Linked DNA regions of Callithrix jacchus. The protein of the gene in region 1 purifies or fractionates together with the protein of each later gene. This does not show direct contact. Links are inferred from orthologs where the notes say so. Each region holds a gene or a part of one and is shown in the gene's direction. Other genes may lie near its edges.

The links.
Region 2: the proteins of DDX39B (region 1) and MYO1C purify together in Homo sapiens (affinity purification with mass spectrometry; 5 studies listed by BioGRID and IntAct, with this or other methods). This does not show direct contact. The link is inferred for Callithrix jacchus from reciprocal best matches to the Homo sapiens genes DDX39B and MYO1C.
Region 3: the proteins of DDX39B (region 1) and SF3A1 purify together in Homo sapiens (affinity purification with mass spectrometry; 3 studies listed by BioGRID and IntAct, with this or other methods). This does not show direct contact. The link is inferred for Callithrix jacchus from reciprocal best matches to the Homo sapiens genes DDX39B and SF3A1.

Annotation. Positions count from the first base shown.
Region 1 is NC_133505.1:39,026,319-39,030,064, reverse strand, and holds the start of DDX39B (spliceosome RNA helicase DDX39B), read left to right. Parts: upstream 1-882; 5' UTR 883-936; exon of another isoform or gene 937-1,053; intron 1,054-1,124; exon of another isoform or gene 1,125-1,472; intron 1,473-1,661; exon of another isoform or gene 1,662-1,739; intron 1,740-2,331; 5' UTR 2,332-2,464; coding exon 2,465-2,675; intron 2,676-3,746. UniProt on the Homo sapiens protein: Involved in nuclear export of spliced and unspliced mRNA. Component of the TREX complex which is thought to couple mRNA transcription, processing and nuclear export, and specifically associates with spliced mRNA and not with unspliced pre-mRNA.
Region 2 is NC_133506.1:66,755,757-66,759,402, forward strand, and holds part of MYO1C (unconventional myosin-Ic), read left to right. Parts: intron 1-98; coding exon 99-181; intron 182-400; coding exon 401-506; intron 507-679; coding exon 680-760; intron 761-1,030; coding exon 1,031-1,122; intron 1,123-3,141; coding exon 3,142-3,236; intron 3,237-3,313; coding exon 3,314-3,360; intron 3,361-3,469; coding exon 3,470-3,550; intron 3,551-3,646.
Region 3 is NC_133502.1:200,934,268-200,937,851, reverse strand, and holds the end of SF3A1 (splicing factor 3A subunit 1), read left to right. Parts: coding exon 1-112; intron 113-1,481; coding exon 1,482-1,583; intron 1,584-1,700; coding exon 1,701-1,772; intron 1,773-2,519; coding exon 2,520-2,621; 3' UTR 2,622-3,020; downstream 3,021-3,584. UniProt on the Homo sapiens protein: Component of the 17S U2 SnRNP complex of the spliceosome, a large ribonucleoprotein complex that removes introns from transcribed pre-mRNAs.

The DNA of each region.
Region 1 (3,746 bases):
GGGTGGAACATCTGAGGTCATACATGGGTGAAACCCCATCTCTACTAAAAACACAAACATTTGCTGGGTGTGGAGGCGCCTGTAATTCCAGCTACTCGGGAGGCTGAGGCAGGAGAATCGCTCAAACCCGGCAGGCGGAGTTTGCAGTAAGCCGAGATCGCGCCACTGCACTCTAGCCTGGGCGAAAGAGCAAGACTCCGTCTCAAACCAAAAAACAAAATTAATGAAATGTAGTATAACCCTCAGGCCCTACTATTAACACTTAGGGGAGAATCCAGACCCAGTCTCCCGTTCGGATTCAGAACACCTTCCGGACTCACTGGCCCTAGGGATCAGCTACCTAGGACAGCATCGTTTTGGGAAAATGCCGCCCACCAGCCCCACCACAGGGAAAGAGTCGGACAACACCCACGAGTACGCCAGTTCCCTTAGACTTCCCTCAGCTAGGGCCTGCCGTTTCCTAGTGCGTGCACAGCCGCCCTCAGGTCACCTTCACTACAGGGCCAAGGACCCCGTGGGAACTCGCAGGCCTTGCCACTCTCGTTCCTCGCGCGTCCATGGAGGGGTGCCTAGAGAGAAGACCTGCGTGGCAAAAACCTAAACGAAGAGATGAGGGGCATGGAGAAGAGTAGAAAAAGATCAGAAAGATAACAGTGGGAGGAGATGTTAGTTTCCTTTATAACTTTTGTTACTGGCGGTAGCAGGGAAGTTAGAAATGGTTTTAAAACAAATTTCAGACAGGCATTTTCCAAAGGCAAGCCTGGAGCGCGCGGATCCATACAACTGCGGAAGGCCCTGTTTCCGGTCCTTTGCGCCTGCGCTCTTGCAGCCAAGAAGGCGGGAGGCCGCAGTAGAGAGAAGGCTGCAACCGGAAGTGAAGGCAGATTTCCCTCCTTCGTCGCTGTTGCTGCCGCCATACGCGCTCTCCCTGCTTAGGTAAGCTTCGGCCTTCGCTACAATCCGTTTTCATCTGCGCTTCTCCGTACCCATCCCGTCACATGGGTTCCTGATACCCTCTTCACAGGCGCTGGTCTGATCGCTGGGGCCTAGTTGGTTCGTTATTTCTGTAGCCTGCATCCCTTTCGAGAGCAAACTGTTCCTGGGGGGAGGAAGGGTAGCTAAGAGGGGGCCCAATCCAAGATGGTGTCCTCGGCGCCATTGTGTTCGCTTTGCTCCCTTCATCCAGTGGGTTCTTCTCATATTGGAGGCCTCATCATCAATGAGAGGCGGCGCTAGGCGTCCCTTGGTCTTGGTATTTGCGGAGGGCGGGGCTCTTCTCACCTTCCTTGTCTTTTTTTGGGCCCTTTCTCGGCCCACGATGGGGCTGGGAGGAGGAGCCGGTTGGATTTTTCTCACCTCGACTTGCCCAACCTAATCTGGAGTGCCTTCCAAGTGTTTACGATTGGTGTCATTGTATGTTTCTCAGAAAGGAGTCTCACCTTCGTAGCGCAACAGTGATGTGAGACCACTTGGTAAAGATTTTGTCGAAGCCTGGGTGGGGATTGCCTTTCTCTGTCAACTCTTAGCTTATTGTAGGGTGGAGACGTGAAATTTTTTGTTGTTGTTGCTGAGCCATTTGTCTTGCACTGCCCGCCCCATGCTAATTACACAAGGATATCTTAACGGAAGGGAGGGTACTGAGAAGTGGGAGGTGGACGGCGGCCATATGATGTTTTCCTTTCGAAAGGTGAGCGCTTTGCGCAGTGATGACCCTCATCTATCACCCTTGACTGATGGCTGCTGAGTTAGGCATCTGCACGTTGGGATTATAATAGGGAAAGCGCGGTCCTATGAGGATTTTTCGGACTCTGTCATCTCCATTTTCCACTTCTCCAAGTTATTAGTAGTATTTTATCCTTTATTATCTATTTTGTTTCATCCTTGTTACTTTCAGATCAAGAATTTATTTTTTTTTCTTTTTATTTATTTATTTTTAAAGATGGGGTTTCACCATGATGGCCAGGCTGGTCTTGAACTCCTGACCTCAGGTGATCCACCCACCTCGGCCTCCCAAAGGGCTAGGATTACAGGCGTGAGCCACTGCGCCCGGCCCAGATCAAGAATGTATAAGTTGGTCTTCCTGTTCCAACTTTTCTGGTTTCTGCTACTCGGATTGCTAATCTTGTTGGGATCCTGTGTCCTAAGCATTTTCCCTGGGACTGCTTTTTCTATGCTGTTTTATTTGCTTTTCGCTTGTATGTTTTGTATCTGTTTCTCTTTCCAGGTAAAAGTTTCCCAGTTTAGGGGAAGTGGGAACTGGGGATGGAAAAGAGGAGGTGAAGGCTCTGCTTATGACTAAATCTTGCTTTTTTTTTCTCCCCCCCCCTGCAGCTCTTCTTTTAGAAACTAGTATCTTTGCTTTCCTTTGCTGTTCATCAACCCCCTAATTTTCACCCCTTGTTTTCACCTATTTTCCAAGAACCCATCCAGAGCCCCCTTCCCTTTTTCCCCTGCCGGCCCAGTTATGGCAGAGAACGATGTAGACAATGAGCTCTTGGACTATGAAGATGATGAGGTGGAGACAGCAGCTGGGGGAGATGGGGCTGAGGCCCCTGCCAAGAAGGATGTCAAGGGCTCCTATGTCTCCATCCACAGCTCTGGCTTTCGTGACTTCCTGCTCAAGCCAGAGTTGCTCCGGGCCATTGTCGACTGTGGCTTTGAGCATCCATCAGAAGGTAAATTTTCTCTTGGGCATGTATGCTCATTAGGCTCTTTAAGGATGATAAAAAGATGTGTTCATTGTTGCTCAGGTGGTAAAGGTTTATACTTAAGGCTAGATCAGGACCAGTTGCAGTCGCTCATTCCTGTAATCCCAGCACTATGGGAGGCCAAGGTAGGAGAGGGTCAGTTGAGCTCAAGAGTGCAGGAGAAGCCTGGGAAACCTAGGGACTCCTGTCTCTATGAAACGTTCAAAAATTAGCCAGGTGTGGTGGCGTACACATGGAGAGGTATGGCAAGCCAGGGGAGGATTGCTTGGGCCCTGAAGATTGGGGCTGTAGTGAACCATTATTGTACTACAGTACGCCAGCCTGGGTGACAGCAAGGGAAAAAAAATCAGGAGATAAGTATCAAAAACAATTTTGGATATAGGAGGCTTATACAGGTTTATTGTTTCTTTTATGATAGCAACAAAGTGCCAGTGATTCAAGAGTAACTTATAGGTCTGCTCTTCATTCTTGTGACTGGCTTTTCTTCTCCAAGACGGAGTCTTGCTCTTTCGCCAGGCTGGAGTGCAGTGGCATGATCTCAGCTCACTGCACCCTCCATCTCCTGGGTTCAAGTGATTTTCCTTCCTCAGCCTCAAGAGTAGCTGGGACTATAGGCATGCACCACCTTGCCTGGCTGATTTTTTTTTTGTATTTTAGTAGAGATAGATTTCATCATGTTGGCCAGGATGGTCTCAATCTCTTGACTTCATGGTCAGCCCACCTCGGGCTCCCAAAGTGTTGGGATTAAGGCGTGAGCCACCATGGCCGGCCTTGTCTGCTTATTTTTAATTTTGTCACTTCTAATTTTAAATTTCCAGAGAGCTCCTGGTTGGACCTGTAGACCCCCTTTGTTGGGCCAGGCCACCTGTGGTCTCTGGAAGCCTCTGTGACTGGTTTAAAGATGACTGGCTTCTGGGTCAGGTACCAAGTCCTTCATTTCGTTCAGGGTTGCAGTTATGTGATCCAAAGTAGGGCAGTCTAAGTAGGAAAAATGACCTGTGGCAGGTGTTCAAATGTCATGAATTGTTAAAGATTAAG
Region 2 (3,646 bases), on another chromosome or scaffold:
CTGCTGCAAGGTGGGAGGGAGGCAGAGGCGGGGCCAGGGCTGTGGGTGGGCTGGCAGACATCGCTGGGGCCATGTCTTTGGTTGAATGACTGCCCTAGGATGTGGACAGCCCCAGCTGGCGGAGCACTACCGTCCTTGGGCTGCTAGATATTTACGGCTTTGAAGTGTTTCAGCATAACAGGTCAGTGCCGCCTTCCCCTGTCCCGCCCTCCTCCTGGGTCTCCTGGCCTGGCCCCTCTCTTCTGTCCCCCAGCCTGATTCTTGCTCTGGGACTGCCCAGCCAGCCAGAGGGCGGCTCTGTGTTTTGTACTGTCTGTGCTCAGGGGCCCTGTCCTGCCTTCCACCCCTCCTGGTCCTCTGTGCCCTCTGAGCCGCGCTGGGCTCTTCTCTGTCCTCACAGCTTTGAACAGTTCTGCATCAATTACTGCAACGAGAAGCTGCAGCAGCTGTTCATCGAGCTCACGCTCAAGTCGGAGCAGGAGGAGTACGAGGCCGAGGGCATCGCGGTGCGTGGAGCCTGGGAACGCTCTCCGTGGGCACAGCCTGGGAGTGCTCTCTGTGGCACAGCCTGGGGGCACTCTCCGTGGGCACAGCCTGGGGGCGCTCTCCATGGCACAGCCTGGCTGTGGCTGAGGACGCTGGGCCCCCACGGTGATGCCTCCTTCCCTGTCCCCCTCAGTGGGAGCCTGTCCTGTATTTCAACAACAAGGTTATCTGCGATCTGGTGGAGGAGAAGTTCAAGGGCATCATCTCCATTCTGGTGAGTCCTCCAGGCTGGAGGCTGGTGGGGGAGTACCCCAGGTGCCCTGTCTCCTTCCTCTCCAGGCTGGCCCACAGAGGGCTGGAGTCAGGGCCTGGCCGGGCTGTGAATGGAGGGCGGAGGGAGTCGCTGCCAGGGTTGGAAGCTCCCTGCCGAGGCCCCCTGCAGATCCACCCCTCCCTGTGTCTGTGCCTCCCGTCATGGTGCCCCCATCTTCTCTGCTCTCTGGCCCCACCGCCACACATCCCTCCCCTGTGCCACACCCCCCAGGATGAGGAGTGTCTGCGCCCTGGCGAGGCCACAGACCTGACGTTCCTGGAGAAGTTGGAGGACACCGTCAAGCACCACCCCCACTTCCTGACGTGAGTGGGGCTGTGGACAGCTGGAGCAAGGTTCCTGTGGGGCAGAGCCTGTGGAGCACAGGCATCCCTCACAGCCGCAAGGGGGTGTCCAGGGAAGGTGCCGAGCTAAGGATCCCTCACAAGCACCCAGAAAACTGAGAAGCTTAGATAAGCACGCTGAACGCGTGAGTCTCACCTGCACAGGAGGCTAGGGCCACAGCTTCACTTGAGCCCTGAGTTTGAGGCTGCAGTGAGCGAGGATCAATCCACCTCCAGCCTCGGCCACAGAGCAAGATCCCATCTCAAAAAGTGAAAAAGACAGCTGGGCACATGGTCACATCTGTCATCACAGCACTTTGGGAAGCCGAAGAGGTGGATCTTTTGAGGTCAGGAGTTAAAGACCAGCCTGGCCAACATAAACCCTGTCTCTACTAAAAATATAAAAATTAGCTAGGTGTGGTGGGTCACACCTGTAATCCCAGCTACTCGAGAGGCTGAGGCAGGAGAATCGCCTGAACCCGGGAGGCGGAGGTTGCAGTGTCTCCAAAAAAAAAGACGACGTTAGTAGCCTGGTTTCCTCCCTATTCTTTTTTGAGAATAAAACTTGCTGAGATTTTTTTAGCTTCCTTATTTGGAAATTGCTTTTTATTGAAGGAATCCCCTAAAGTGGGGAGAGGTAGAAACAGGAACCAGCGGCCAGGATGTTCCGTGCGTCATTGCCAAACCTGAGCCGCTCTGTAGGGAGCTGTCCTGTTGTTCCTGCATCTCACGAGACTCCAGGGGGAAGTCCTTTCTTTCCCCAGGTCATCTCTCATCTGGGGAGCTGAGCGGGGCTCAGTCCCAAGGCTGTTGAATGCCAAAGCCATAGTATTTTTTTGCATAATAAGGCTTGTTTCTGGCCAGGTGTGGTGGCTCATGCCTGTAATCCCAGCAGTTTGGGAGGCTGAGGCAGGTGGATCACCTCACATCAGGAGTTCCTTGGCCAACATAGTGAAACCCCATCTACTAAAAATACAAAAATTGGTCAGGTATGGTGGCACGCACTTGTAATCCCAGCTGCTTGGGAGGCTGAGGCAGGAGAATCCTTTGAACCCGGGAGGTGGAGGTTGCAGTGAGCCCACCATTGCACTCCAGCTTGGGTGGCAGAGTGAGACTCTGTCTCAAAAAGGAAAAAACTTGTTTCTGGGAGTCTCTCTGAATCTATGCTGGTTTGGGGGCCGCATGATTCATTAAATAAAAAAAAAAAAACTTGTTTCTGGTTATAAAAATGATCCCGCTCGTTGGAGAAGCGTTGGAATGTTCGCAAAAGCCCCGTGAACCTGTCAGCTACAGGCCGTGGCTGTCAACAGCACCAGGCATTTCCCTCTGGCCTTTTTCCATATGTTTTTTTTTTTTTTTTTGTAGTCAGGAACTTATTGTATACAAGGCTTAGGGCAATGCTGTATCCTGAGTGTTTTCCTGCAGCATCAAACAGAAAGTTTTCTCAAAACCCTCCTTGCCGAGGCTCTGACCCACACACTTTTTCCTCTGGCCTTTGGGGGCCCCAGGCCAACCCCAGGTTTCTGCTGGAATCTCAAGGCTACCACCCATCTCCATGCTTCTATCTTTGTCTGTATTTCTGGTTATTGCCTGGAATAGTTCTTAAAAGTAGTAAGTGGACCAAAGGGTATAAACACGCCTTGGACTAACGTACTCTCTCCAGGCGGCAGATTCCATTCTGAAAAGCAGCAGGCAGCTCACCACCCCCTTTCGAGCAGAGCCCGAAGCAGCGAGAGTTGCCCTCCCTGCAGCAGCCCTGGCAGTCAGGAGGCCCAGGCCCTGGTCCTGGCACTGTGTGGCCCTGGGCAAGGCTGTCTACCTCTCTGAGCCACTGTGGTCTGTTCTGCTGGGGGAGGCTGCTGGCCCTGTCTGGCCTCCCACACGGCGCAGGGGTTACGACCCAGCCCTGGGGTGTGCCTACTCTTTGCTGGGTGGCTGGCTCCTGCTCCTGAGATCCCTCCTGCAGTCCGGCCACCTGCAGCTTCCTCCCCATCACCTCAGGCACAAGCTGGCTGACCAGCGGACCAGGAAATCTCTGGGCCGAGAGGAATTCCGCCTTCTGCACTACGCTGGGGAGGTGACCTACAGCGTGACTGGTGAGGATCCTGGGCTGGGTCCTCACGGGGGCCGCAGGGAGCCTCTGTCTCACCTCACATGTGCTCTCCCCTCCCAGGGTTTCTGGACAAAAACAATGACCTTCTCTTCCGGAACCTGAAGGAGGTGAGGGACCTGAAGTGGGGGCCGAGGGGGAAGGGGTCACCCACAACTCTGCACCTGTGTCCAGGGGCCTGTCCCTGTGCTCCAGCCTGACCCCGGCTCTGCCACACAGACCATGTGCAGCTCGAAGAATCCCATTATGAGCCAGTGCTTCAACCGGAGTGAGCTCAGTGACAAGAAACGGCCGGAGACGGTGAGGGGTGGGGCCAGGCGTGGGTGAGGGCTGAGCCAGCCTGGGAGCTGGCAGCATGCGTGTGAGCCCGTGTTGGTGCCCGTGTGCACATCTGTG
Region 3 (3,584 bases), on another chromosome or scaffold:
CCCAATGCCCCCTGTTCATCCCCCACCTCCCATAGAAGATGAGCCCACCTCCAAAAAACTGAAGACAGAGGACAGCCTAATGCCAGAGGAGGAGTTCCTGCGCAGAAACAAGGTATGTGATCCCAGAATGCTGCTGAAGTTTCTAGCTGGAGAGTCCCACCCCTGTTGTACACTTCCCAAACTGAGGGTGTTTCACTCCCAGTCTTACTTCTGGGGCCTAGGTCAGCTATTGGAGGCATCTAAGGGCTTTTGAGCACACAGTGAATGTGGGGCCAACAATTGGAGGAGCAGAGAGCATTAGTGGTGATGGGGATGGTGGTGGTGGCAGAGGTGGTGACTGTAGTGGTCCCCCTGGTGTGGACTTACAGAGGCTAGCAGGGAGAACAACTCATGTGTGAGAGGGACCCTAGACACCTGGAGGAAATTTTGTGTGGTGTTTTAAAGTTTAATACGGCCTTCCTCCCCAGCTTGAGCCCTTAGGAGGTGATTCTGTTGAGCTCCTGGAATAAGGGGAGGTGGGGACCTTGTCACTGCCAATCTCTAGGGAAGCTGTCAGGCTGCAGTAAGGAGGCAGAAACAGCCCCAGCCTCTGCTCCCCCAGAGGTATTTGACCACATTATTTATTATTATTTTTTTTTTACAGCCTCTGCCTCCCTGGTTCAAGTGATTCTTGTGCCTCAGCCTCCCGAGTAGCTGGGATTACAGGTGTGCACCACCACACCTAGCTAATTTTTGTATTTTTGTAGAGACGATGTTTTGCCATTTTGGCCTGGCTTGTCTCGATCTCCTGGCCATAAGTGATCCGCCACTTTGGCTTCCCAAAGTGTTGGGATTACAGGCATGAGCTGCCGCACCCACACTATTTGTTTGTTTTTTAATAATCTCATTTCTTAAGCACTTAACTCAGCTGGGCACAGTGGCTCACGCCTGTAATCCCAGCACTTTGGGAGGCCGAGGCAGGTGGATCACAAAGTCAGGAGTTCAAGACCAGTCTGGCCAAAATGATGAAAACCCAACTCTACTAAAAATAAAAAATTAGCTGGGCCACAGTGGCAGGTGTCTGTAATCCCAGCTACTTGGGAGGCTGAGGCAGAAGAATCACTTGAACTTGGGGGATGGAGTTTGCAGTGAGATGAGATTATGCCACTGCACTCCCAAGCAAGACTTGTCTCAAAAAAAAACCGCTTAACTCAAGTACCAGGATAGAGCTAAATAGTTTACAGACACTCACCTAAGTTCTTCACTTTAGCTCCAGACTCACCAGGAGACAAGATAGAGATTGTTTTAAAGAAAAGAAACTTAAGTCTTGCAAAGGGGGAGTGACTTCTACAACCTCACAAGCGGTATCATTGGTGAATCAGGCCAGAATCTAGCAGCCCAGATTCACCGATGACATTGTCTGGACAGGCCTAGGATAGCAGAGCAGAGTTCCTGATTGGCTCAGGGCTCCCTGGGTATAATGACCACCTCCTGTTTTATAGGGTCCAGTGTCCATCAAAGTCCAGGTGCCCAACATGCAGGATAAGACGGAATGGAAACTGAATGGGCAGGTGCTGGTCTTCACCCTCCCGCTCACGGACCAGGTATTACGAGTTGCTGCCACAAACTGGCATCAGGTGCATGAGAACCAAGAGATCAGGGGAAAGCTTCCTCCAGCCGGCCTTAGCAAGGAGTTGAATGACCTCTGCTTGATTCCACAGGTTTCTGTCATTAAGGTGAAGATTCACGAAGCCACAGGCATGCCTGCAGGGAAACAGAAGCTACAGTACGAGGTGAGTCAATTTGTCCACAGACCTGCCCCTTGGATCCTGACACCTGCTTATACAGAAGCTAAATCTCTCATGGAAACAGAAAGGGGAGTTGAGTGATACCTGGGTATTGCCATCTGAATCCATCCTAGAAGTGATGATACTGGCTGGGAGTGCTGGGGCAGGTGTGCCCAACAGTGCAAGGCTCTGGTGGGGACACAGTACAGTCTTATGTGGGATCTGTAAGAACTTTGCCTCAGTGACTGGGCATAGAGATATAGGGACAAGACTTAGGCATACTCTGGTTCCAGTGATGCTGGTATGACCTCAGGCAGCCCAACTTGGAGGTGATAGTCTAGCCCAGCCTGAAGCCTGCCAGGTCACATGGAGGGATTATGTTCTTCTTATCTAAACTTTAACAAATCCCCACTCTGGGCCTCAGTTATCTCTATAAATTGAGGCTGTTGGACTAAGTGATTCCTAAAGGTCTTGTGATTTCAGAGTCAGAGCTCCATGGGGTTGGTCAGGAACAACTTTTTGGGGAGTTAAGCTTTGAGTCAAATGTTGATAAAGGAAAGGAGCATAATTGGTAGGAAGAAAGCAAACAGTAAGAAGAATGAGAAGCCTCTAATCCCCAGCACACTACTGTCTCACAAGTTCCTGTATTTGCTAAATCCAGAGCACAAATGGACCAAGTGCACAGTTGTAAGGTTGCAGCAGTATGCTCGAGGCTGGATTGCCCCATGCTAAGGCATGCTCTCTGTTTTCCAGGGTATCTTCATCAAAGATTCCAACTCACTGGCTTACTACAACATGGCCAATGGTGCCGTCATCCACCTGGCCCTCAAGGAGAGAGGCGGGAGGAAGAAGTAGACAGGAGGAACCTGCTGTTAAGTCCCTGCCATTTTGCCTCTCACGTCTCCCACTCTGACCCAGACCCACCTGAGGCCTTGGACCCTGTCTGCATATTTGTTTCCCTCTTACTCAGTTTGAGAATTCAAATTGCCCTGCAGGGGTTCATTCCCCTGACCCCTTCCCCACATTGGTAAGAGTAGCTGGGCTTTCTAAGCCACTCTCTGGAATCTTTGTGTTAGGATCTTGATTTGAGGACATTGAGCTCTTCAAGCAGACATTAGCAGCTGAGAGCCCAGGGATGTCCTACAGGATAGTTTCATAGTGATAGGTGGCACTTGGCTAATAGAATATGGCTGTTAATGTCATTAATCATTTTGTACCTTGACATGGATTGTCTAATAAAACTCTTGGACCCTTCTTGTGAAATCAGTTAAATAAGACTTGTGCCCTGTCCAGACTCGAGGCAAAGGTAACACTGCACAGGGCTGTGTGACTTCTCTGCTTTGAGGATTCTGGGGTTTTGTAACTAAATTCTTGCTGCCATCATACTTTTTATGTATTGGAATTATATTCGTATTGCCCTTTTAAAACATTGGGATCCTCCAAAGGCCTAGCCCCGTGTATTTAACAGTATAATACAAAGAAGCATACCAGGCCCCACGACAAACAAGAATACATGGTGCAGTCCCTGTGTCAGTGGGTGGTGGAGACATGTGCAGATGACACTGGAGGTTTCCTGCCAGCCTGGAATCACCCATTCACCTGATTGATTGGCTCTGTGACTCTGGGCAGATGCCTCACAGGTGTATGGATTTGATGAGGTTTCTTTAAAATGTATTTATTTAATAAATACTTAATTGTACTAAGGTAATGTACCAAGGACTTTATAAAATTCAAATAATTTACTATTTTAAGCATTTTATCATTTTAACTCCTGTAATCCTCATGTGAGTATTCCTGTTGAACATGGGTAAACTGAGG